Oryzias latipes: one gene and its partner. The protein of the gene in region 1 binds, or shares a complex with, the protein of each later gene. Links are inferred from orthologs where the notes say so. Each region holds a gene or a part of one and is shown on either strand. Other genes may lie near its edges.

Evidence for each region.
Region 2: the proteins of mucosa-associated lymphoid tissue lymphoma translocation protein 1-like (region 1) and bcl10 are in contact, whole or in part, in a cryo-EM structure (PDB 6GK2), measured with the Homo sapiens proteins. The link is inferred for Oryzias latipes from reciprocal best matches to the Homo sapiens genes MALT1 and BCL10. Residues at the interface, in NP_006776.1 of Homo sapiens: Asp46, Gln47, Ala48, Pro49, Trp54, Arg55, Leu74, Glu75, Ser78, Leu79, Val81, Leu82, Glu83, Pro84, Glu85, Gly86, Pro88; in NP_003912.1 of Homo sapiens: Leu13, Lys17, Val83, Arg87, Asn93, Gln97, Thr100, Leu104, Arg107, Asn108, Leu111.

What each region holds. Positions count from the first base shown.
Region 1 is NC_019867.2:1,789,600-1,801,303, forward strand, and holds the start of mucosa-associated lymphoid tissue lymphoma translocation protein 1-like, read right to left. Parts: upstream 6,266-11,704; 5' UTR 6,156-6,265; coding exon 6,007-6,155; intron 5,843-6,006; coding exon 5,676-5,842; intron 4,755-5,675; coding exon 4,633-4,754; intron 4,537-4,632; coding exon 4,389-4,536; intron 3,652-4,388; coding exon 3,473-3,651; intron 3,398-3,472; coding exon 3,301-3,397; intron 3,209-3,300; coding exon 3,161-3,208; intron 2,505-3,160; coding exon 2,460-2,504; intron 1,541-2,459; coding exon 1,337-1,540; intron 1,168-1,336; coding exon 990-1,167; intron 1-989. UniProt on the Homo sapiens protein: Protease that enhances BCL10-induced activation: acts via formation of CBM complexes that channel adaptive and innate immune signaling downstream of CARD domain-containing proteins (CARD9, CARD11 and CARD14) to activate NF-kappa-B and MAP kinase p38 pathways which stimulate expression of genes encoding pro-inflammatory cytokines and chemokines.
Region 2 is NC_019875.2:28,862,006-28,873,571, reverse strand, and holds bcl10 (B-cell lymphoma/leukemia 10), read left to right. Parts: upstream 1-5,249; 5' UTR 5,250-5,673; coding exon 5,674-5,724; intron 5,725-7,776; coding exon 7,777-8,065; intron 8,066-8,159; coding exon 8,160-8,566; 3' UTR 8,567-10,164; downstream 10,165-11,566. Other genes in the region: outer dense fiber protein 2, read left to right, coding at 118-222, 487-645, 1,777-1,877, 1,948-2,110, 2,237-2,362, 2,455-2,628; mucolipin-3, read left to right, coding at 11,491-11,566. UniProt on the Homo sapiens protein: Plays a key role in both adaptive and innate immune signaling by bridging CARD domain-containing proteins to immune activation.

The DNA of each region.
Region 1 (11,704 bases):
ATGATTGCCTGGTTTCCTCATTTCCAAAGCCAAGTTCACACCGGCCCCAGAAACACGTGTTCAAGTGACCGCTTCCAATGAAAAATCCAAGTATATGCGTGTAAATGCACGTTTCGGACTTCCGAGTTCGAAACTCTTGCGTTCACGTGTCGCTATGCACAGTTTTAGGTCAGTTTTTTGGCTCTACGTGCATCAAATTGTACTTAAAGCCTTTTTTACTCTAAAGATTTGTTAACACTGGCCTCCGCAACGCGAAAAGTCTATGTAAATGCACGTATGTGCGAATGTTACAGTTTTTAAGCGTTCATGTGTTGCTACTCAAGTTACTACGATCGTTTGAGGTCTCTCCGGACGAAACATGCATTGAAAGTTAAACCAGGTCAAACTTTGACCAATCAGGGACTCTAGTGATGTATGGATTCACAAAAGTGCAAAACCTTTTAAAAAAGCTCTGGAGTAAGGCTGTGAAAGAAAACGCCTGGAGCAAGATCCACCAGAAAGTACCCAGTACAAGGTACATGTACCTAGAACTGGGTAGTAGGTAGATGTGCTAGTACCCAGTACCAGGTACATGTACCTTGTACATGTGCTACTACCCAGTTCTAGGTATAGGTAACTTGTACTGGGCACTAAGTACATGTGCTAGTACCCAGTACCAGGTACATGTGCTAGTACCCAGTACTATGCGACAGTCCAGTGTGATCACCGTAAGCTAATAGCGTGAACACAGGTTCTTGAACGCATAAACCTGGTTGCATAAATGAATAAAAAATGTGCATGAACATCTTTTTCTACGGGTTCACTGAGCGGTTGACCACCTTGACATATGTCGCGGGTCACCTGCATGCCCCGTACGGGTTTGCCCCCCACAGACAGCCCGTATCCACCCGTAAGGACAGCTGAGACTTTGAACTTTGTCTTTTCTTTGGCGGTAACGGTTGGTTTGAGCGTCTCATACAAACTTAAGTTGAAGTCCAGAAAGGACCCACCTCTTCCTGCACATGTCCAGCAGGAAGACATTCAGGCCCGTTTCCTTCTCCTGCATCAGTTTGAGGACGCTCTGCACACATAAACAGTTGGCCGAGTGGTAGGGGTTTGGGGCATCCACCGGCACCATGAAACTGTTCCCGTAGTTCTCGTAACCGTGACCGGCGTAGTACAGCAGACCTGAACAGGGATGGAGCGCCATGACACCAAGGTCCAACAAACTTTTTGTTTCCACAATCTCATTTACAGTTTTTCATTCTCTTAAACATTTTCCAGCCACATCAGTTAAAATAAGTGATAACGGTGAGGAAGAAATAAAAGAATGAAGATGAAATGTCTTTGAAAGTACCGTAGACGCCTTTGTGAAGCAGCAGCAGGAACTCGTCGACGGCGTTTCTCATCTCCGACTCCGTGAGGTCCAGCAGCGACACGACCTTAAAGTTCAGCTGCCGGAGGAGGTTGGTGAGCTCGTACACGTCCACCATGGGGGCTTTGAGCTGCGGGTGGTTCTGGTACGACAGGTTGCCGATCAGCAGCGCCACTTTGTCGGTTGCTGGGATTCAATATCAGACAGACGGTCGTTAGGGTGATGAAAATCTATTTTATATTCCCAAAAAACGGGCGGGAAACTGAAGCACGCTGTGGTTGGCGAGTCCAAAGGAGCTCCGCCCATCTTTTTAAACCCCTGTCTGAATGGAATTTTTTGTAGTTGAAGAAAAAGTAGAAACTTTGTCTAAAAATGGAATCCCTTCAATTAAAGTTATTGACAACATAGAGGTATGAAAAACAGATGTTTGTGTATTTCTCCCTTACGTACACATCAAAGTCAAATGCAAAAAACAATAATCCTCTAATAATCAATTTAAACCTTTTACTAATCGCTGCGTTTAAATCCCACTAAAGCCCGTTGACACGACTGTGTTGTGATAATAAATAAAACTGCATTGAACTGAACACGTGACCGTGGTATAGGCAGGATAATGCCTGGCGAGGTGACCATTCTTTTCTGATGATGGAAACCTCGTCAGGCATTTACATATACGGAAAAACAATGAAATGATTATACAATCAAATAAGATATGATGAGAGGAAGGATCACACTGAGGACAATCAGGCGGTCCGGTCCAGTTTAAAACAGGCCAGGCTATTCAGGTGAACCTTTCCATGGTGCTTTCTGTTATCGAAATGACCCTCAGCCAATCAAATCAAATCAAATCAAACTTTATTCGTCTAGCACTTTTACGACGCGAGCTACTCAAACAGGTTTTAACAGTAGCTCCGCCCTAACCGGTCCTCTTTATAATGGAAACGCTCAAAATACTGGACCGATCTGAACCGCTCTGTGGAAACGACCCATGTCCGACCAATGATGTCATCGCGGTCCTCAACCTGTAGCCTCTGGGGTCTGGATTCTGCAGGCTCACTTCCTGTCATGAGAAAATGTGACCAGGAAGAAGCTCAAAGAGACTCACCGTAAAGTTTCTCTGGAAGACTGTTCAGGAAATATTCACCGGACACTAAAACAAAACACAGAACCAGGGTCACAATCCAACCGGCCAAAGCAGCGAGTCCGATGAGACTCCAGACGTTCCAAGCATTCAACACTAAACGGGGGAGAATCAGAGGCCAACGGATCAGAATGTTCATGCAACTACAGATTACAGCAAAAACAGAAACATAAAGTTTGGTTTTTTGAATTTATTTCATGCAAAACCCATGAAAAGATAAAAAGGAGCCTCGCAAAAACCCATCAGCAGACGTCGAAGGGACGCCAAACATCTCAGGCGACGCCGTAAAGTAAATCCCTGCAGACCTTAACGTTCAAAAGACAAATGTTAGTGATCAAAGCATCAGAGTCTTTAAGCTGCACGACTTTGAAACCAGAATTGAACGAACGCTAAAATGAGAACGTGCAGCCCAAGACACGATCAAGTCTCCCGTTTAACGTTTCTTTCTTTGACGACCACACTTTACAGATTCATATTTTATATTTTCATGGGTTCTGTCGTCTCTTAGAAAAGACAAAAAACACAGAAATCCTGAGTGTTCATCAAAGCCCACAATATTAGTCCCTTCAGAATCTACAAACAACCCACAGAAAGGCTGGCTTGGGTTAATTTCCCATAATCCTCAGCAGTAGTGACATCAGCATGCAGGCAGCTCTCCACTCTACCTTCAGAGACCTCCTCTGGCTCTGAAACCTTCACCGAAATCCTCGGCGCTTTCAATCAAGAGCAGAAGCAAATGAGAACTGTGCAGACGTTCGGAAAACCTGCTGTCCTTGAAGGCATCAGGAAACGGCGCCCTACGTACCGATGGAGACGTCCACCTCGTTGGTCCACATCCTCTCTCTGCTGCTGCTGATCTCGCAGCGGTACCTGCCGGCGTGATCCGGCGCCACGTGAGGGATCTGGAACGACGCCGTCTGGTTAAACTACAGCCGAGGAATCTGATCGACTCGGAAGAGGAGACGGGAAAAGGTCACCGAGAGCTTTCGCTTGGTGGCGTTCGGGACCGGGACTCCGTTCCGGTGCCACTGGTATCGAGGGATGGGCCGCCCCACGGCGCCACACTCCAGCTGCAGGCTCTCCCCGGCGTGCAGCGTCTGCGACTGCGGCTGGACCACCAGCTTCAACCGTCCGTCCAGGGAGTGGTAGCTCTGCCCTGGAGGAGGCGGAGCAGAGGGGAAGTTCGGTTCTGAGCCAATTTTCCTCTCATAGAAAAAAAACTGTTTTACCAAAAGGTAAGAAATGCAAACCCCTAACTACTAAAAAACTATCTAGTGCCCTGAATTTTAAAAGCAATTCTGACACCACGCTCGCTAATTTGTTCTTTAAGGACGGAAAGGACATCATCGATTTTAGGACTTTCAAATCAAATTGATATCAGTGTTTTGCGATGATTATTTATGAGTCTGATAAAAATGTTGATGATTTATTAAAAAAAATACATTTAATGATACTTTTTGGGGAAAAAATTGTTTCGACGCAATGCATTGTGGTCTATTTTCACAGATCTGGTGAGCATCGATGCACACTGGTTTTTTGCAGAGACTTCTGGGAAATTTCTAGGGCTCTGGATTTTGGAATTGTAGATTTGGAAAATGAACAACGCCCTATAGAGTGAAGTAGGGAGGAATTCCGACACAACCATAAATAATCGTCACAAAACACTCATATCAGTTAGGTTTAAACCTTTTGAAATCGATGATGTCATATCTGCCATTTATAAAAAATAACACGTAGTGAGCGTGGTGTCCCAATAGCTTTTAAAATCCAGGGCACTACATGGTGTTTTTAGTATTTAGGGTGGGAATTCGGACACAACCACAGTGAATCACAAAGTGAGGGGGGCGGGGGGCTTTAAGGTGAATTCCTCAGAAATGAAACCCTAAGTCTGACCGTAAGACACCCCGACGTTCAGGACGTCCACCTGAGCCCACTGGCTGAATTCACAGGCGCCCTCGCCGTTCACCCTGCAGATGTAGAAGCCGGCGTCCTTCAGCTGGACGGAGCTGATCAGCAGGTCAGGAGAGCAGCTGCCAGGAACCTGAGGTGGAGACGCAAGAAATGTCTGCAGCCTGTCATCCACACACGGACGCAGGAAAACCGGGAGAAGTCCGGAACCGTGTGTGTGGTAGCAAACCTCCTCTCGGGACTTGAACCACTGGTACTGCACGTCAGATTTCCCCACGGCGAGGCAGCTGAGGCGAAGGTTGTGTCCAACCAGCAGAGCCACGGACTGAGGCTGCAGGAGGATCTGCAGGGCTGAGGGGGCGGAGAACGTGGCGGGTCAGAAGAACCGCAAAACTTTCTGCAGGCGTGTGCATCTGCAGGTGTGGGTTTCTGCAGTTGTGTGTATTGGTGTGTGTTTCTGCAAGTGTGTTTCTGCAGCTGTGTTTCTGCAGGTGTGTGTTTTTGCAGGTGTGTGTTTGTGCAGGTGTGTTTGTGCAGGTGTGTGTTTTTGCAGGTGTGTGTTTTTGCAGGTGTGTTTGTGCAGGGGTGTTTGTGCAGGTGTGTGTTTGTGCAGGTGTGTGTTTCTGCAGGTGTGTGTTTTTGCAGGTGTGTTTTTGCAGGTGTGTTTGTGCAGTTATATTTGTGCAGGTGTGTTTCTGCAGGTGTGTGTTTTTGCAGGTGGGTTTTTGCAGGTGTGTTTGTGCAGGTGTGTGTTTCTGCAGGTGTGTGTTTTTGCATGTGTCTTTGTGCAGGTGTGTTTTTGCATGCGTGTGTTTTTGCAGGTGTGTGTTTCTGCAGGTGTGTGTTTTTGCAAGTGTGTTTTTGCAGGTGTGTTTTTGCAGGCGTGTGTTTCTTCAGGTGTGTGTTTGTGCAGGTGTGTGTTTTTGCAGGTGTGTTTGTGCAGGTGTGTTTTTGCAAGTGTGTGTTTCTGCAGGTGTGTGTGTGCAGGTGTGTTTTTGCAGGTGTGTATAGGTGTGTGTTTCTGCAAGTGTGTTTCTGCAGGTGTGTGTTTCTGCAGGTGTGTGTTTTTACAGGTGTGTGTTTCTTTAGGTGTATGTTTTAGCAGGTGCGTGTTTTGCAGGTGTGTATTTCTCCAGGTGTGTGCAGGTGTGTTTTTGCAGGTGTGTATAGGTGTGTGTTTCTGCAGGTGTGTGTATGACTCATGTTTGACAGAATAATTCAACATCAGAAAGGTCTGAATTCCAGCTAAGCACGTGAGTGACAGCAGACAACCTTGTGGTTTCAGACACTGCAGGGCTTCCGTGTTCCCCAGAGTCTGCAGGTAGTCGCTCAGATGACCCACGGTGCAGCCTCGATCTCCCATCAGCCTCAGCAGCATGAGGCTGGGGCTCCCTCCCACCTCCAGGACCCTCAGGGAGCACATCTCCATGTGGTCGGAGCTGCAGGAGAAAGAACGCAAACGTGTAGAACCACAAAACATGGCGCTGTTCTCCTTTGTTAAAGGCTTTTCAGAACTTGGTAGGACTTTCCTGAACTTTTTCAGGACCCAAAGCCTCAAAGTTTGTCTGTTAACCCGAGAACGGAAGACGATGCGTGAACGTACCTGACTTCAAAGCGTCTGTCGTTGTTGACGATCTCCCCGAGCCGTCTCCATCCTCTGACGCTTGATTTGTCCAGAACTTCGCAAAGTTTCCTCAGAACAGTTTCTTTCAGAGAGGAGATCTTTGTAGATCTGTCCCAGGCGTCGGACATGGTGGTTCTTCCCCACCGGCCTTTTCTCCGCGCCGGCGACCGTGAACAACAACCACCGCCGGCCGCGAGAACGACAACTTCCTTGAAATTCAGACATACAGAGACACGCCCACTCCACCTTAGGTTTCCCCGGCTGCTCTTTGCCAAAGATCCTCTATGTGTAAAGATGCATTACTCTATGGATAAAAACCCAAAATAAACCCATGTCCTGATGCAAAAATGTTATAAATATCAGATGTTCAAATAAAAAACAACAAAGTAACTAAAATAAAAAAACACGAGACCCAAAATTAATAACTGTAAACTTATGTGTGTCACAAGATAACATGGATGGAGTGTGTCTTCATAATACATATACAATCTTTTGTCTTCAGTTAGATTGGGTAGTTTTGTTGTGACGTAGACAGTCTCCGCCTCCATTACGTCATTTTCATGCGTTCATTTGTTATAGCATCAGTCAAAGGTTTTAGCCGAAAGTCCGTCAACAACAGAACAGTTTTTGTTAGTTTATTTTTTTAAATTATTTAAACATAATCATTACAAAACTCTAACAGACACAACCACGCAAAAATGCAAGTCACAGCTCTTCACAAAAACAAAGATAAAAAACTATAACAAAACAAGAATGTACACATATATAAAAAATATAAAAAACTTTCAGCATAAATTAAAATACAAGGCAAACAACAATCTGGACCCTAGATTTGTAACCATTCTGTAGCAGATTTACAAATGTCATCAATGAATGGATTTGAGTTGGGAATACATTTCAATGATGATAAAAACAGTCTGACTTCATTTTTAAAACACAGGAAATTCAGACGATCTTTTCTCCACTTTTCTTATGAATATGATATTTTCCCAAAATCAGGAGGATGTTCACTAATTTTGTTGTCTCTTTTGGCAACTTACTGTCATAAAACAAAATATATTTTTCTGTGAATTGTATGTTTTAAATTTCTTGACTAAGCCAGTTATGGAAATCTTGCCAGAATCTTTATGATCACTGGACATGAAAAAAACAGCTGTTTGGTTGTTTCTGGGGCTCGTGACAGAAATCACACGGATCAACCTCAAAGCCAAATCCACTCCTCAACGTCTCTGCCGATGGGTAATAATTGTCTATGATTTTGAAACACGTTTCTTGAATTTTGGGGACCATTGGCCATTTTATGAATTTCCATAGTTTAGAACCTGATGTGACAGGTGTCTCAGTTATTTTATATTTCACTTTTTTATTAAAGTCATGGTACAATTTACCTTTAAAGGATTTGTTTAGGTATTTATTATCATTTATTATCATTTTTTTCACTTAGTTTTATTTCTCCTATTACTAAATTTGGTAGTTTAATTTGAACATAGGAAGACAATTTTGTATTTTTTATTACGTGTATTAAAGCAATTGGAATTGCTCTGCAGGTTTTCTAATATTCCTTGGTTTTGCATTCAATATCATATTTACTTTTGAAGTCTCTTAACTGAAGAATTTCTCCATTTAAATCAAGAATATCACTTACAGAAATGATCTTGTGGTCAAACCAATTCTGATGAAACATTGTCTTCCTGTTTATGGTCATTACTCTGTTGTTCCACAGGGGGGCGCAGTGGGGGTGAAATTGTGACTAAATATCATTTTCCAGTGGAAAAGTACTTTGTGAAATTCTGAAATCTTTATAGGAAGTTTGGAAATTTCAAAGTCACATCTCAGCAAAAAATCTAATCCACCTACTTTTTTGAAGATGTTTTTGGGAACATGAAACCATATTGAGTCAGGATTAGCCATAAAGTCTTTAACCATTTTATTCTAAAGGTTCCAACCACTGATTGCGTCTTTATACCTCTCAAAAATTAATTTTTTAATTTTTATTTTCGAATTAATTTTCTTTTACATTCTTTGGGGTAATGTAGGGAGATTGGCATGGATATATTAAATTTGAAGTTCCTTCTGATTTGCACAACAGATTTCTTCCAAAAATGGTTAAATCTCTGATTAACCAATGATTTAATGATTTTTGCATTTGGTTTATTTTTTCCATCATGTTTTTTTCTTCTCTTTCTTTTTCATCTCTAATTAATTTAATTCCTAAATATTTCACTTCATGTTTTCACAAGAGAACAGGGGGAGTAATTCAGATTTTTGTAAGTTTAGTCGAAGACCAGAAGCTCTTGAGAAAATGGAAATAATGTGCAGGGCTTTCGTTACCGTGTTTTTGTCTTTTAGAAAAAATACGGTGTCATCTGCAAACTGGCTAAGGCGAAACTCAAAATCAAAAACTTTAATGCTTTGAATTTATTTTAATTTAATGTTCCTAACCAAATATCTGAGATTGTTGTAAAGTATTTCTCTGTCATTTTTCCGCTTTGCTTCCATAAAAGATAATAAAATGTAGAAATTAGTGAGTTTTATTTGTTTTTTTCAATAATCATAACAAAAACGTTTTTTATTATTATTATTAATTATTATTATTATTATTATTGTATTATTATTTAAAACATTTTTTAATAATAATGTAATTTTTTAGTCATTCTTTTTAATAATGACTATACATATATTTTATTTTAAACCAATAATCACATAAAAATGATTAATAATAATGTTTTTGTGTGAACCTTAACCTCAAAATGTTTAGCTTCCATACATTTCCTTTATACTCTGCATCAGACTGTAGTGTCAACTTTCACACAAAGATGTTTCATTTGTTTCTCATGTTGTGTCATCTGTAATGACCACAGCTCCTTGTCTTAAGTGCAAACACTGGAGAGAGTGAAGACCCGGTTTCATCATCTCAGTTTGACCCGTTTCCCAGGTGCTGCTGTCACTTCTGGTTTCATAACACAACATTTGAATCAAACAATGTTTGAGGTCAGCGTGGATCCTGAGTTGGGTTTGTTTTGCATTAAACTTAAAGGCTGCGTCACACGGTCACTACGTACATTTGGCGCATTTTCCATGTCTGAAATTTTGCTCTTTGTTGTTACCTGCGTGATATATATCCATGTGTGTCTTGCGTCCGTCATTCATCATTTACGTGTTCTTTGCGTGGTAATTTCATACTTCTTCTGTGGTTTTAACGACGTTCATTTCTGATACATCTGTGAAAATGTAAAGACCATAACTTATTTTCACTTTTTCCACGTATATTTATCCAATCCAATCAGTGCAACACGCGCAGAATGTGCGTAGAGGCCGTGCGACACGGTCTGGTAAGAAAAATCTACACTGCAAAAACGAAATCTTGAGAAATTAAAAAGACCCTCGTTTCTAGAAAAAATGTTTAATTATGTTTAGCAAGAAAAATTTAAATTAATCAAGAAAATTTTCAGCTGCAAAATAACCTTAGTGTAAGAAAACATAGTGAGTAGAAGGTTTCTTCGTAGACCATTTCTCTTTCCCCATTCACAGTTATTTTTGCTTATTTACAGAGACTTTTTATTTTTTTCCAGAATGTTTTACTTATTTCTACAGGGACTGTTTTGCAGGGTAGAATAAGACAACTTTTCCTCAGCTCCCTTCTTACCCAAAATAGTTATTTATTTACTTGGCAAGAAAGAAAATGTAACCTTTTTCTGACCTAGTTTTGCATCTGCAATTACAAAGACAGGATTGTGAGTCAGCGAATCAGTTTGATTCCTTTTTCCTCTTGCCTGAAAGCAGCTTAGCTAAACTTGATGCTTATTCCCTTTACATCTACATGAAATGAAAAAACAAGAATGAACCCAGACGACACATTTATGTAGAAACAAAAAGTTTAAACGGAGTCTTTGTCTCTGTCCCTTTTCAGAAACGACGGCGTTCTAAGAATCGACCTCTGCCCTGCAGCAGAGACGTGGAAAACTACGGCGTTTTCAGTTCTCGCTGAGCGGAGCTCCACAAACCTCATTAACACAACACCTGACAGGGGAGCTTGGGTGTTTTACAGACACGTCCAAAAGGTTTTCCTCACTGAATGGAAATATACTGACAGTATGACGGCAGGATCGTTGCCAGGTTCAGGGGGGGCACTAACTTTATTAAGCAAAAAGTTACAAAAACCTGATAAAGTTACAAAAAATGAGATACAACTGCAAAAAGGTTGATTCATGATTTTTGCGACACAGTTTTGAAAATTTTGATGAATTTCTTGATTCATAAACAGCTGCGTTGCCATGTTTGATTGCATAATCTCCCCGGGGGCTGTGCTTCCTGGTCTCCATGGAGATGAGGAACACTCCGAACATCTTCCTCTGTCAGGCAGCCGTCCTCACCTGGATGATGAAGACGTCCACCATCATCCCTAAGGACGCCAGAGTAACTTTCAGCGCGTGATTAATGAACGCCCGTTCTGTATGTAGAGCTCACGACCGGACTTAAGACCTCGCGTAGCGATAGTGAACACGGGGCTTCTGGACGCGCGTTAACTCAGTCTAAGTCTATGCTTGAACGCGAGTCGACGTGGCCGGTGTGAATGCAGCCTTCTGACCGCGGAAGCCCAAAACACGTGTGTGACTGTAAAAGCGCTTTGTCCTTGTTGGTAGAAAAGTGCTATACAAGTATACGCCATTTACCTGAATCTACCAACAATGACGGTTCAGGTGTTACAAGATGACTCAGCAGCACATCAAGATCTTGAGATGGTTCTGGAAACCATGGCAACCAAAAGACAAAGATTTGAACTTGGTGTTTTTATTCTGAAGAGATTTCAGGAACATTCAGTTTTACTCTTTACATCATGGTCGCATAAATACTTTTACTTTCATTCCTTTTACTGTTTTTTTTGCTTTGATTTGATTGGTTGAATGCTTTATAGCATCAACCAATCAATGGTTGGTTGATGCTATAAATCCTTCAACCATTGTTTTCCTGTTTCTCTGTCTTTATTCTAGCATCTTCCTCCATTTTTTGCCGCTTTACTCCTCCTACAATTTTTCATCTATTTCAACCATTCAACTATTCAAATGTTCATCTCTTTCATCTTTTTCCAGCTGTGACTTTTGGTTCTTCAAATCCTTGAACTTTTCCAGATATTCCAGGATTTTTTTCCTCCATTTAAATAAATGGGGAATCCTTGGTGCAGAAGCTCGCTGGTTTGATACCCGGCTCTGGTATTTTTCACAAACATATCTTTTTGGTTATTGGACTGTTTTCACTTTATTTATGGTCAACTTTGATCATTTCTCTCTTTTAGTTGCCAATTATTCCCCTTTAAGTTTCATTTTCATTCACCATTGCTTTTTCATAATTCTTTTTATTCTGTGTTTTGTTGTGTTTTACTGTAAAGCACTTTGTGAGTTTTACCTTGAAAGATGCTTTACAAATAGTTTATTATTATTATTATCATTGTTATTATTATTGTTATTATTATTATTTAACCCTGCATTTTCTTCTGGAAAAGCATCTCCTTCTAGTTTGCTATATTGGTTTGTTTCAAGCATTAATTCTAGACAATAAAAATAACAGATATATCAAACTCATTCAGAAATAAAGACATTTATTTATCAAAATACAGAGAAAATTTCACAAAAATTTATGAAGAAAATAACAGTGTAATCACTCATAATCGTGACTGGAC
Region 2 (11,566 bases), on another chromosome or scaffold:
GTTTTTGATTTTGGCCGAAATCAAAATGATTAATAATGGGAGGGCTTTAAAAATTGATCAAAAAATGATTGGAGTCGGTCTTTAACAAATGTTTAACTTTGTCTTTATTTTCTTTAGGCTGCAGAACTTCAAGCTGAACTTGAAAATCTCCGATTGCGATATGCAAATCTTTTAAGGGAGACCCACAAAACAAAGCATGGAACAGAGGCAGAAGTTGAAAAGGTAACAGTCCTAATAATAAAAAAAAAAAACATGACGTCACAGAACTGTGGCAGTTCTTATTGTAATCAGATTTCATGTGACGGTGTGATTACTGTTGATCCCATTATTCTGCATTCACCCTGACAACCTGAGTCTATCATTTGGAGCCGTGTACATCAGCTGGCATGAAGCTGATGCGCAGCTGCAGGCATCGCTTTGGGAGGTGCTTTAAATCTTCAGGTAACGCCATCTACCCCCCTCTGACTCCTCCCCCTGGGGGTCCAGGTGAGGCAGGAGCTGCAGGGCCGTGTGGAGGAGCTGAAGGCTTTCCCTGAACTGCTGGCTTCGTCCGAGCAGAGTCTCCTGGAGTGTCAGGAGAGCCTGCTGCACCTGGAGAAGAACTGCTCTGACAAGTCCCAGTTCGTTCAGAAACTTCACGTGAAGGTCTGTCGTCAGAGGATGTGCAGAAGACGCTTTCTTACATCCGAACACTAGGTGGCAGTACAAACGTGTTTGCTGTGTTCCTCACAGTTGTTGGTAAATGTAGACAATTCGGATTTTTTTTTTTCATGGATGTTCCGGTTTGTGGTTGTGTTGTGTGAGTTTGCATGTTCTTGAGTTTCTTGAAAACGTCAAATGGAAAGAAGAAAAAAACACGTTATTGCAACTAAAGAGGAAACTTTATGTATGTACTTCTAAATACTACACAGACTTGTTTGTCCCCCCAGGTAACTAAAAATGACAATGGTTGCTATGGAGATAAAACTAATAGAAAAGCCATCTTTTTTTTTAAATGATGTTTTTTCTTCAAGAATTTGTTGCATGTAGCTCCAAACCAGGGCGGCAAAGTGAGAAAAGTGTGGGAGGGGCATATAGCAGCCACTCAGGCAGTGAGGGCAGGTCAAAAGGGGGGGCAACAGGGGCAAGTTGCCCCAGTGGGCCATACATTGCTCCTCATGGTTTTAATTTTTAAATGTTTATTTGATAGGGGCATTTCACATTAAATACAATGTCTGCAAATGCACCAGATTGAGGGGAAAAAATATATATTTTGTATTATTATTATGGTATTATAAATAATATGTCTTTTAATAAAAGAATAGAAGATAAGAAGCCCCGTGTACACTTTGCTGTTTTAGATGCAACAGCTCACTAGAACTGTCAACATTTGATCTAAATGTGAACGGCGCTTTAAAAATGGCTGTAAAAATAACAAATAATAAAAATAATAATTTTTATTAAAAATCAAACAAAAGGAAAAAAATAAGTTTTGCTCAACAGGAAACTGTATTTTCTTGTCAAATATCAGACGGTTTCTGATGGTCCATTTGCTAATTAGTTGATTTTTTTTTGGAGCTCTCAGAGAAGAATTCTCATAAATAGTCACCTAAAGAGCCACAGCGCTCCCTAAAAACCTTTATGCCACAGAAGCATGAAGATGTTTCACATTCTGTCACCTCACTGCACGGTGATTTAAAAAAAAAAGGCTTCAGATAAATCTGGATCTGTGATGGAAACCTCAGGAGACAGTCAGATATCATGGTAGAGTTGAGTCTTTTGCTTTCATGTTCACAGATGGAGAGTCAAGCGAAGCAGCTGAGGTCGTCTGCAGAGATGACAGAGTCCGTTCTTCTCACCAATTCCCACCTGCAAGAGAAAGGACAGGCTTTGCAGAAGTGAGGAGCAAAGTCAGCGGAACGTTAGTCTGGATAAAACCCGGAGTTCACCGTGAGGTTGTCTCTGCAGACAGATGGACAGACTCCAGCAAGAGAACCTGGAGCTGGTACGAAGGCTGGCGTATCAGGAAGAAGCTCTGAGTTACAGCAAAGGCCAGCTGGACCAACGCTCGTCAGAGTGTCAGACTTTGAACCGGCAGCTGGAGGCGGCTCTGTCAGACGTGAGGCAGCAGGTACGCCTGAGAAGAGAGGCATCCGCCATGTTGTTCCAGCTGTTAATCCAGCAGAACCATCTAAACCTGAAAGTAAAACTTTAAAAGTGACGTTCTCACACGAGTGTCTAACATGTTCAACAACAGGTGAACGCGGTAAAAACTCTGGCTGCTTCTCGAGAGGAGGCCCTTCAGACTAAAATCCTGGAACTGGAAGCGGAGAAGAGCAGAAGGGACAACGAGCTGAGGCTTCTTCATCAGAGCAAGCTAGCTGTGAGCATCACCTACTACATCACTAAATGATTGTACGACTCTGTGTCTGAATGACAGGGCTGTGTTTCTGTGGTTTTGCTGTCCTTCTGCAGTCAGAGAGACAGTTTCAGGTGCGTCTGAAGGACCTGCAGCTCAGCCTGGACCAATCAGAGAGCCACAAACGCAGCATCCAGAACTACGTGGACTTCCTGAAGAACTCCTACAAGACCATGTTTGATGAAGGGCTGCAGGCAACCACTTTTGGATCCCTGCACTTTTTAGACTGATAAAGGTTTGCATTTTTGAATCCCAGACACATTTTATGCCCTATATGATATGAAATCAGAAGCCAGGTTTAACCTGTGGGGATGTCATCTTTGGACATAAACTGCTGTCATAGAAAATTTGATTTCTGTTTTATTAAAACGTTTTATTGCCGATAAATGTTTGCAGTTTTGGCAAACTTGGTGCTATTGTTGTTTTTTTTCTTGAGCCATTTGCACAAATGTAAACCTTTACCAAGAACAGATTTCTAATTTATTATTATTTTCTTTTTCTAAAAATTAGTAAAAATAATTTAGAATTCTGTGACATGTCTTATTATTACTGAACGGATCGTTTTTTTTTGTTTTTTTTTATGTTTAGGATGTTGTTTTTTTTTATGGGTAAAAGGTAAACTTGTTTTGTCAAACTTTACACACATTTTCAATCATTTCCTCGATAAGGTGTAAACTCTTTTACTGGGAAGTACTAACTCTGATTTAAACGTAAATGTGAAGTCGACAGAAATGACATTTGTTCAACGGAACCAAAAAAGCACGTAGAGATGATCCTGCAAAGGTTCAAACAGGAATAAAACTGGAATTATGGATTCCTGAAGGGACTGATGAACGCAAATGTTCATCAAACAGGATGGATTTACATCAATATGTGATGCAGGACTACAGCACCTATTCTATCAGACAATGCTTAATGTAAAACATTTACAGTTTACCTGCAGAAAACACTGATAAACCTTAAACATTTCACATTTGAAAAAACTACTCATCATTTTCTAGTTAAAGTACTTTAAGATTTAAAAAAAAAAAGTTCAATCTGAATTGTTTTTCTCTCCTGGCTCCAGCTCAGAGGCCTCACAAGAATAAAAGCCATGAATAACCACGCATCAGCTTTTTGAGTCTTTGTGTTTTAGAGGATTGTCTGACTTTTGACCAGCGGCGCGTTTTGAACATTCCAGTCGTAAACTCTGTCGTCGTGATCATACAGGAGGTTCAGCGTGTGCCAGATGCTTGGGCGTCTTCTCATTCTCAGCTGGATTGATGGAAAGTTAAACGTTTAGTTGATATTCAGTCCTTCAGGCTGCAATCAAATGTTTGTAAAGAACCTCTGTTGTTCAAATGTATTCATGCTGGTAAAGTTGAGGAGTTTTTCTGTGTCTTGTGTTTTTTGAAATAAACGCAGAGCAGCACTGCAGTGATTTTTCTTGTTTTGTATTTTTGCTGCATTCTTCAGAGCGTGAAATGATATTATGCTTTAATGTGTGTCAGAACCCCATTTTTACCTTCCTCTCAGGTTCTGTTGACCACTAAGGAAGCTTGAATGTATTGACAATGTGGAGTTTATTGTAATATAGTTAGAAGCTTTAAAAGAAAAAAATAATTTTTCTTAGTTCTTTTAATAAATTCAACATTTTTGCACCAGAAATGTACGGTGTTGTCCATTTTATTATCTTAAACAATACATTTCCTTGTTTTATTCAATATCTTTTCCTTGATCGTTTAAGTTTTATTAGATTGATTTGATGTTGGCTCTTGCAGGACAGTCTGAGGATGCTGCAGATTCTGATTTGCATCTTGTGAGTTAAAGTAGAAAATGTTTCTGTATTTTTGTTATGCAGCATTTTATCTTTTTTGACTAAATGCTTCTGGGTGCACTCACCAACCGCACAGCAGCAGTAAAAACCTTCAGTCATTTCAGCTTTTCTGATCATTGTAAAAAAAGAATTGTTTTTCCAAAGTAAACATTTCATATTTAGTATTTGGATTTCGTTAGAATATTAACACAAAAAGGTAAACAACATTTCAATCCAGGATGTTTTCTCTGAGGTGAGAAGACAAACCACTACACCACCATGCAGGCACATTTCAATTTTTTTCTATTTTTAAATGTAGTTAGTGTCACACAGCTTTTTGACCGATTTTGGACAATTTTACATCGATTTCTAAACATTGTCAGAGTTGCTGGGGCCTATCCCAGCCACTGTTGGGGGGAGGGGGTGTCTTGGTTCAACCTGGACTGTTCACCATCGCAAACTGTTTTTAGAAATCCATTATAATGATTATGATGATACTTTGTTTTGGACAAATACTATAAAAGGAAAAATAGGACCATATAAAAAACAAAAAGTACATGAAATATCTAAAAGGGAGTGAGAAAAAGTAGAAGCGTAATAAACCCTGTGCCCTATACACCAAATGCATTGCCACACAATGTACACCCGCCACATATGATGGACGAGTACATTTTCAGTTTCAGATACAAATATACTCGCATAGAACTACACACTTTCACTTTGTGTCTGTAAGGAGAGAGTTTCGTGTGTTTTACAGTTTGTTTTAAATTTTATTTATTATAAAAATGTTTTGCTTTTAGTTTTTAAGTAGAACATTTTTTTATTATTTGATTGATGTGTTGCACTTTGTGTTACTTATGTATGAAATGTTTGCTTTGTTAAATTAATAAAATTACATGATTAATCTTTGCGAATTTCATATGTTTAAATAACTTCAATAAAAATAGCTGTGATAATTGTCTAATTAATTGATATTTAAGATAATTGAAGCTGTCTGATGTGGCGCGGACCCACAGCGCCCCTGCGTGGACAGACTGGGAACAGCGCGTGAGCAGTTATGTGACTACAGATGGAAACAAAATTCAGCAGCACCGGAGGGGAAATCTGTTCTTCGGGGGCTTTCCCCGGTCTGTGAACGTCATACCAGGCGCATGACGAACGTTCTGGTCAGTGGCGGGAAGAGCAGATCACAGAGTGAAAGTTCCGTCTGTGCTCGGTGAACTTCTGCCTCCGGCCGCTTGACGTCGTCTAAGCTCGACTCAACCAGGAAGTCCGGACTTGCCTTTCCCCTCCGTGATTGAGGCAGAAAAGAAAAGTTGAATGAACGTCGGTTTTTGAGGCACCATGAACCCGCACGCGCTCGGGCGCTCGCGCTGATTCGGCGGCCGTGCTTTAATGGTGGTGTTCGGGAGGTTTAAGGGCCACTTTGGACGCACATCTCGGGTCGGTTGGAACACCTGGACCTTCGCCGGTGTGGGGGATGGATGCTCCTCACCTCACCGAGGATGAAATGGCAGAAATTAAGAAAGACGTGAGTACCGGAAGTGCCACTGACTTTTCGCTGATTTCGGGGTCGATGATTTTTTCTAGTGAGGTGATCGGGTTCACTGATCAGATATCCGTGACCTGCCTGAAAGAGGAAGTGGCTCGCCACACCCTCGTGCACAGTCTGTACCATGAAGTACAATGCAGTAAAAAATAGTATACTTTTGAACCAGTATACGTTCAAGTGGAATTACTGGCCTCCAGAATAAAGTAGAGAAACATCACCTGTTGCTTAGTTGTAGGTGTGAAAGTTACCTGTTCTGGCCTTGAACAGGTCACTTTGTTGACCCCCCCCCCTCCTCCTTTTGATCCGCCTTGTACAGTTGACCTGGATGACCCCGAGCCATCTTGTCTTTCTATGGTCTTAAAGGATGTACCTGTGCCTTTGTCCTTCCTGCTCTTCTGTCCAGATGTTCTCTTCATGATAATCGTGTGTCCTCTTGCGGTAGCGGTCGCTAACTTGTCTCTTAGTTTGCTTCATAAAAAGCCTTTTTCGCTTAAACATGGACGAGGGGTTGACGCTTATGGTATTGTGCGTTTTGGGGTTGTCCGGTCCGTTGGAGGTTCGTAGAGAGGAGCGGCTGTATCTGAAGAGCGCAGGTGTGTATTGCAGTTCTGTTAAAGCTCTTACGTCACCTGAAGGGACGCCATGAGAATGGATCGACCCATTGCCGTGTGTGTGGTAAGTGAATCAGTATTGGTAAGACTACAGGAAGTTGTGCAAACGTATGATGTACGGGTGATACTGACTTACGGGGCCACCACCACGCTATAGTTGTTAGTAAGTGTAAGGACTGACCCCCTTACTGAACACACGGGGCGTGCACGTGATAAGTAAGTGAACTAGGACGCCTGTAGGATGTCGCTCTAAACATTGTTCTTGAACACGCACTTTGGCCATGGCGTTCACACTGCTCTTGCAGGGAGGGGCTTCTTCTTTTTCTTTTTTCACGTTTTACTGTTGCATGTCCATCACCTACAGTTGGAAGAAGCTCGGTGTGAAATGTAGAAGGGGTGCAAATCTCACAAGTCGTGTTCCAGGCTTTTTATTTCACAACTGTATTCCGATATACGAAAGACTTGGTGTCGTAGAATTCCAGCGGGCCAGAAACCGGAATGACAAACGCTTGACATTTCCGTGAATTGAAAGGGACGCCACCCCCACGTCATGACCAAATCCGAGTCCCTGATTGGACAAAGTTTGACCTGGTTCAACTTTCAATGGCCACGCATTTTGTACGTAGAGTCCGAAAACAGTCGCAAAAACTTGAACGCGAGAGCCCGAAATGTCCATATGCGTTTCAGGCACGCGTTTACGTAGACTTTTCACTGGAAGTGGTTGTTTGAACGCCCGTTGCCGAGGGCGGTGTGAACGTAGTTTTAGGGGCTCCTTGCACAAGACTTGTGGGTGGGGTGGGGTCGAATACTTGGAAAAATCTGTACAACACGCCTGCGTCTGGCCTACTTCACCCTTATGTGTTGTTTAAGTGTTCACGAGGACCTGCCGCCCGCCGCATGCCGGTAGAAAGGAAAGCGCATGAACATTTTGGCTCTTTGGTTGACTGAGCGGTCCACGACTTTGATATTTCCCATATCCACCCATAAGGTCGGCGGTGACTAAGGCTAAAGGTGTTCTCGTGTGTCTCATTTCTTTTTGTTGCACGTAATGACTTGTCTCTTTTTTCCTCTCATAACATGTTCCAGTGTTTTTCTTCATGTTTTTACTATCACCCCATTGTTGCAGATATTATCTTGTCTGTTCTTTTTGGTTCTGTAACAAATGTTTCAATATTTTTGTCTCAGTGTTTGCCTCTTTCTTGTTAGTTCTTTGTGTTGTGTAGGATTTCTTCTATTTACATTTTCTAGAAGGGAGTCTTTTTGTGTTCAGTTTTGGAGTGTATATTTAAAAAAAAAGTTAAATTTATCTCTTGAATTATTTTAAATAAATTAGATTTATTGCAATTGGAGTAACTTATCAGTTTGCCATTGGTTATAGGCTGGGTCATTACAAATACACCAAATTGTCTGGATTTTCCAGGTTCTGACCAGACTGCGACACTACCTCTGTGACAAGATCAGAGCGGATCGCCACCTGGATTACCTGCGCTCTCGCCGCATCTTGACCCGGGACGATGCCGAGGAGATCAGCTGCAGGACCACGCAGACGAAGAGAACGGCCACGCTGCTGGACATCCTGGCTGAGAACCCGCGCGGCCTGGACGCCTTGGTGGACTCCATCCGAGAACTGCGCTCGCAAAACTTCATCATCGCCAAGATCACGGACGAGGTGCAAAAAGCCAAAAATGAAAAGCTGGAGTCTCTGAAAGGTAAAAGCAGGTCCTAGGACGACCTTCTATTTTTCCTCTGTTGGGTTTTCCTGATTGTTTCTCTATTTTTCCCATCATCCCCCCTCCCCTTCAGCTGCTGGAGCCTTTGGTTCATCATCTGACGGCGCCTTCAGCACACCCAGCAACCCGGGGGACCTCCCCACCACATTTTCAAACAGCTCCACTCTCATGTACCACCCGGATAGTGAGCACAGCCCCTCCACCTCCGACATGGGAAGCTCTCTGAATCTGCCGTCGTTGCAGAAGTCTGGAGACTCCACCTCTGGCGCTAGCATCGGCACAGCTTCCTCCACGTCCTCGTCCAACCTTCCTAAGCCAGGAGACCCCGGAGCTCCGCCTCTTCCGGACGAAGTGGAGGTGGAGTCCCCGTCTAACATAGACTCAGCAGCACAGGGGTGCAGCAGCAGTGGGGGAGACCCGAACTTCCAGCCGCTTCGGTCCCGTTCCCTCACCCCAACGTCTCACCGGAGCATCTTTTAACCTGAAAGGACCTGCTGATGGAACCTCGCATCGCTTCTCTGTATTTGACCCGAATTCTGCACATTTGGGTGCGTTTGCAGTCAGCGTCCTGCAGGACAAGGGCAGGACGCTGACGCACAGGTACCCACAGTTCTAAATATATGTGAAGGTTTTAAACGAATTAAGGGGCATTTTGGTTTAGATGTTTGTGGTCGCGCTGTCGACTTGTGAATTTGTTTTTGACCAGCATCTTCATCGTTTCTTTAGTCTTAAAAGTTTTCTGGATCCGTTTGAAAACTGTTTCAGGACAACTGACTTTAAGGAAACACCGGATCTGAACGGAGACCACCCGTTAGTTTACGTCCGTACCCCGATCCTTTTTTGATCCAGTTGCAAAGCGTGGTTTTCTAATTATGTGGTTTTCTAATTATGCCGTTTTTAGCCAAAATGAAAACATTTGTGTCGTGTTCTAGGACTTATTTGGTCCAGAGCATCCCTGCCCCCCCCCCCCCCCCTTTCACCCATGGCTCAGAACGCTCAGCTAGCTGTCCTGCTAGCTTACAGCCCCTCCCACCCCTAACCTAATATTACCGGTGCAATGAAAATGGTGAGCAGTATCGTAGCTATCCAGCCGTACAGTTTAGATCCAGATTCCAGCTCAGACGAGGAAAACAAAGACCTTCATGGATCCGTTTGTCTGACAGTGGATGTATCAGAAAGGGGCGGAGCAGGGAGCTTGTGGCCCCGCCCCAGCGTATTGTCTACATCACAGATACAATCTTTTCTCAGATGGGGTTTGTTGTCTACTCCCGATTCATGATTTGAATAAAGAAATACTCAGAAATGCGTTTTTAAGCTTAATTTTCTTCATAGATGTCCTTTTATCTCAAAAAAGAAATGCAACAAGAAGATGTTAAAAACACAATTTTCATCTGAGCGGGCCTTTCGATAGAAATGACAAAAGACAGAATATAAAACTAACCAGAAATCACTGAAATTCCTCTTTAGAAGTTGACCAGAATTGAAGATGCTGTAAAAATGCCTGTAAAGCCGTGCTGCAGCACTTCTGCCGCTCCACACAGTCTCTGTTTCAGGTGTCGTCGTCGTCCTTCTTTTCATAGCAACAGCCTCTAAACGGATTTGTAGTGATTTGTGACTCCAAGCCTGGAGTCAAAAAAACTGAACTGATCCAATAGAAGTGGAGAAAAAGTTCTTTTCTTTTTTTTTTGGGAACAAACTCCTCATTGAGATTTGACTCCTAACATCTGAAGCCAGAGAGGGTAGAGTGTTGGGGAGACAAAAAATACATCGATGTATTCAAGTCCTACTGGATCTGGAGGTCAGGAATCTCTGACCGCTAACCTCTGAAGGTTTAAGGAGTTCTTCTTCACGGAGGAGGAGAAAACATGGCGGCCTCACTTCTGCTTCTGCGCGGAGAGACGGTCACCACGACAAACGAGGGAGGGGCTTTTTAACCTGCTTTTTCTGTTGCATCAAGAATCTCCTTCACCTTTTTCTTCACTACAAGAACTGAACACAAACATGTACGAAGCTCTAAACTGTACTCTAAAGTGTACACAGTGACCCGAGCACAATAAAGTTTTTTTTATGCAAATTCAGCTGTGTGTGTTTGTGTTTTATTAGTGTGCTTGTGCTAGAGCAGCCGAAGAAATAAACATCCAAAAAGACTAAGTTCATTTTACTAGTTGAATGCTATAAATCCTCCAACCCATCGTTTTCCTGTTTCTCTTTCTTTATTTAATTTTTGCCGCTTAACTCCTTCAAATTTTCAGCTATTTTAACCATTCAACTATCAACATTTTCAGCTTTTTCCAGCTATGACTTTCCGGTCCTTCAAATCCTTGAATGTTTCTGCCTCCATTGAAATCCATGGGGAATCCTTGGTGCAGAAGCTCGCTGGTTCCATACCCGGCTCTGGCATTTTTCACAAAAAATCTTTTCTGTTTTCTGTTATTGTGCTGTTTTCACTTTATTTATGGTCAACTTGGATCATTTGTTTTTTTATTTTTTGCCAATTATTACCCTGTAAGTTTCATTTTCATTCAGCAATATAGCATTCAAGCCTGCATTTTCTTCTGGAAATGCAGCTCCTTCTAGCTCAAGTGAATTTAAATTTCCAGACTTTTTCCAATATTTTGTTGCTTCTTACCCCGTAATAATCCAGACCCAGGAAGAGGCCTCCGTCCTGCATGGAGTTCTTATTTTAAAGAAGCAGATATCGAAGCTGGCTTCCTTTTTTTTTGTTTTGGAAAAACTGGAAAAACTTCAAATGACACAGAGGAATGACAGTCATTGTGGCGAGGGCTGCTGGCCTGACTCACGCTGCCACCTGGTCCTCATAATCTGCTCTGGACTCCTGGATTACAGGGCTGTAGATCGCTGCTTCACAACAGCTATTCGCAGGTAAACCACTTTTACTCCTTTATGATCATAAATTGTGTCGACAGTAGTTTGTGTTGTTAAAAGTAGTTTAAAACAATAGAAACAAATCCTTGTGTGGAATAAAATCCCATTTGGTTAGAAAGGACTCAAGATTTATATTTTTTATCTGTGGAAATGATGTTAATGACACCAAAAACAGCCCATTTAAGAGCATGATTTAATTCAGAATGAAAAGATTTACTTGTGTTTTCTTAACTTTAACTCCACAGCTCTGATTTTTTTTTTAAATATTTTTTGAAACTAAAATTAGCAGAAAAACATTAATAGCAAACGCAGCAAACAGAATGTATTTCAGAACCTTATAGCTTTTATTAATAATTTTGCATAATTTTTGGAATAAGATTGAACCAGTAAAAGGAGGGAGAGAACGAGTTAGTGGAAGAACCAGTTTGATAAACATCAGAATGACTGGAATGGCTGAACTCTTGCTGTTGGTTATGAAAACGTCTGATCTGCAGCGAACGTTTGGCTGTTTGCTCTCGATGGAGGAGTCTGAACCCCTGCTGGCCGCTGCGGCACAGCCCAGGCGGGTGATCGGACACGCCGCATGGAGCGGCC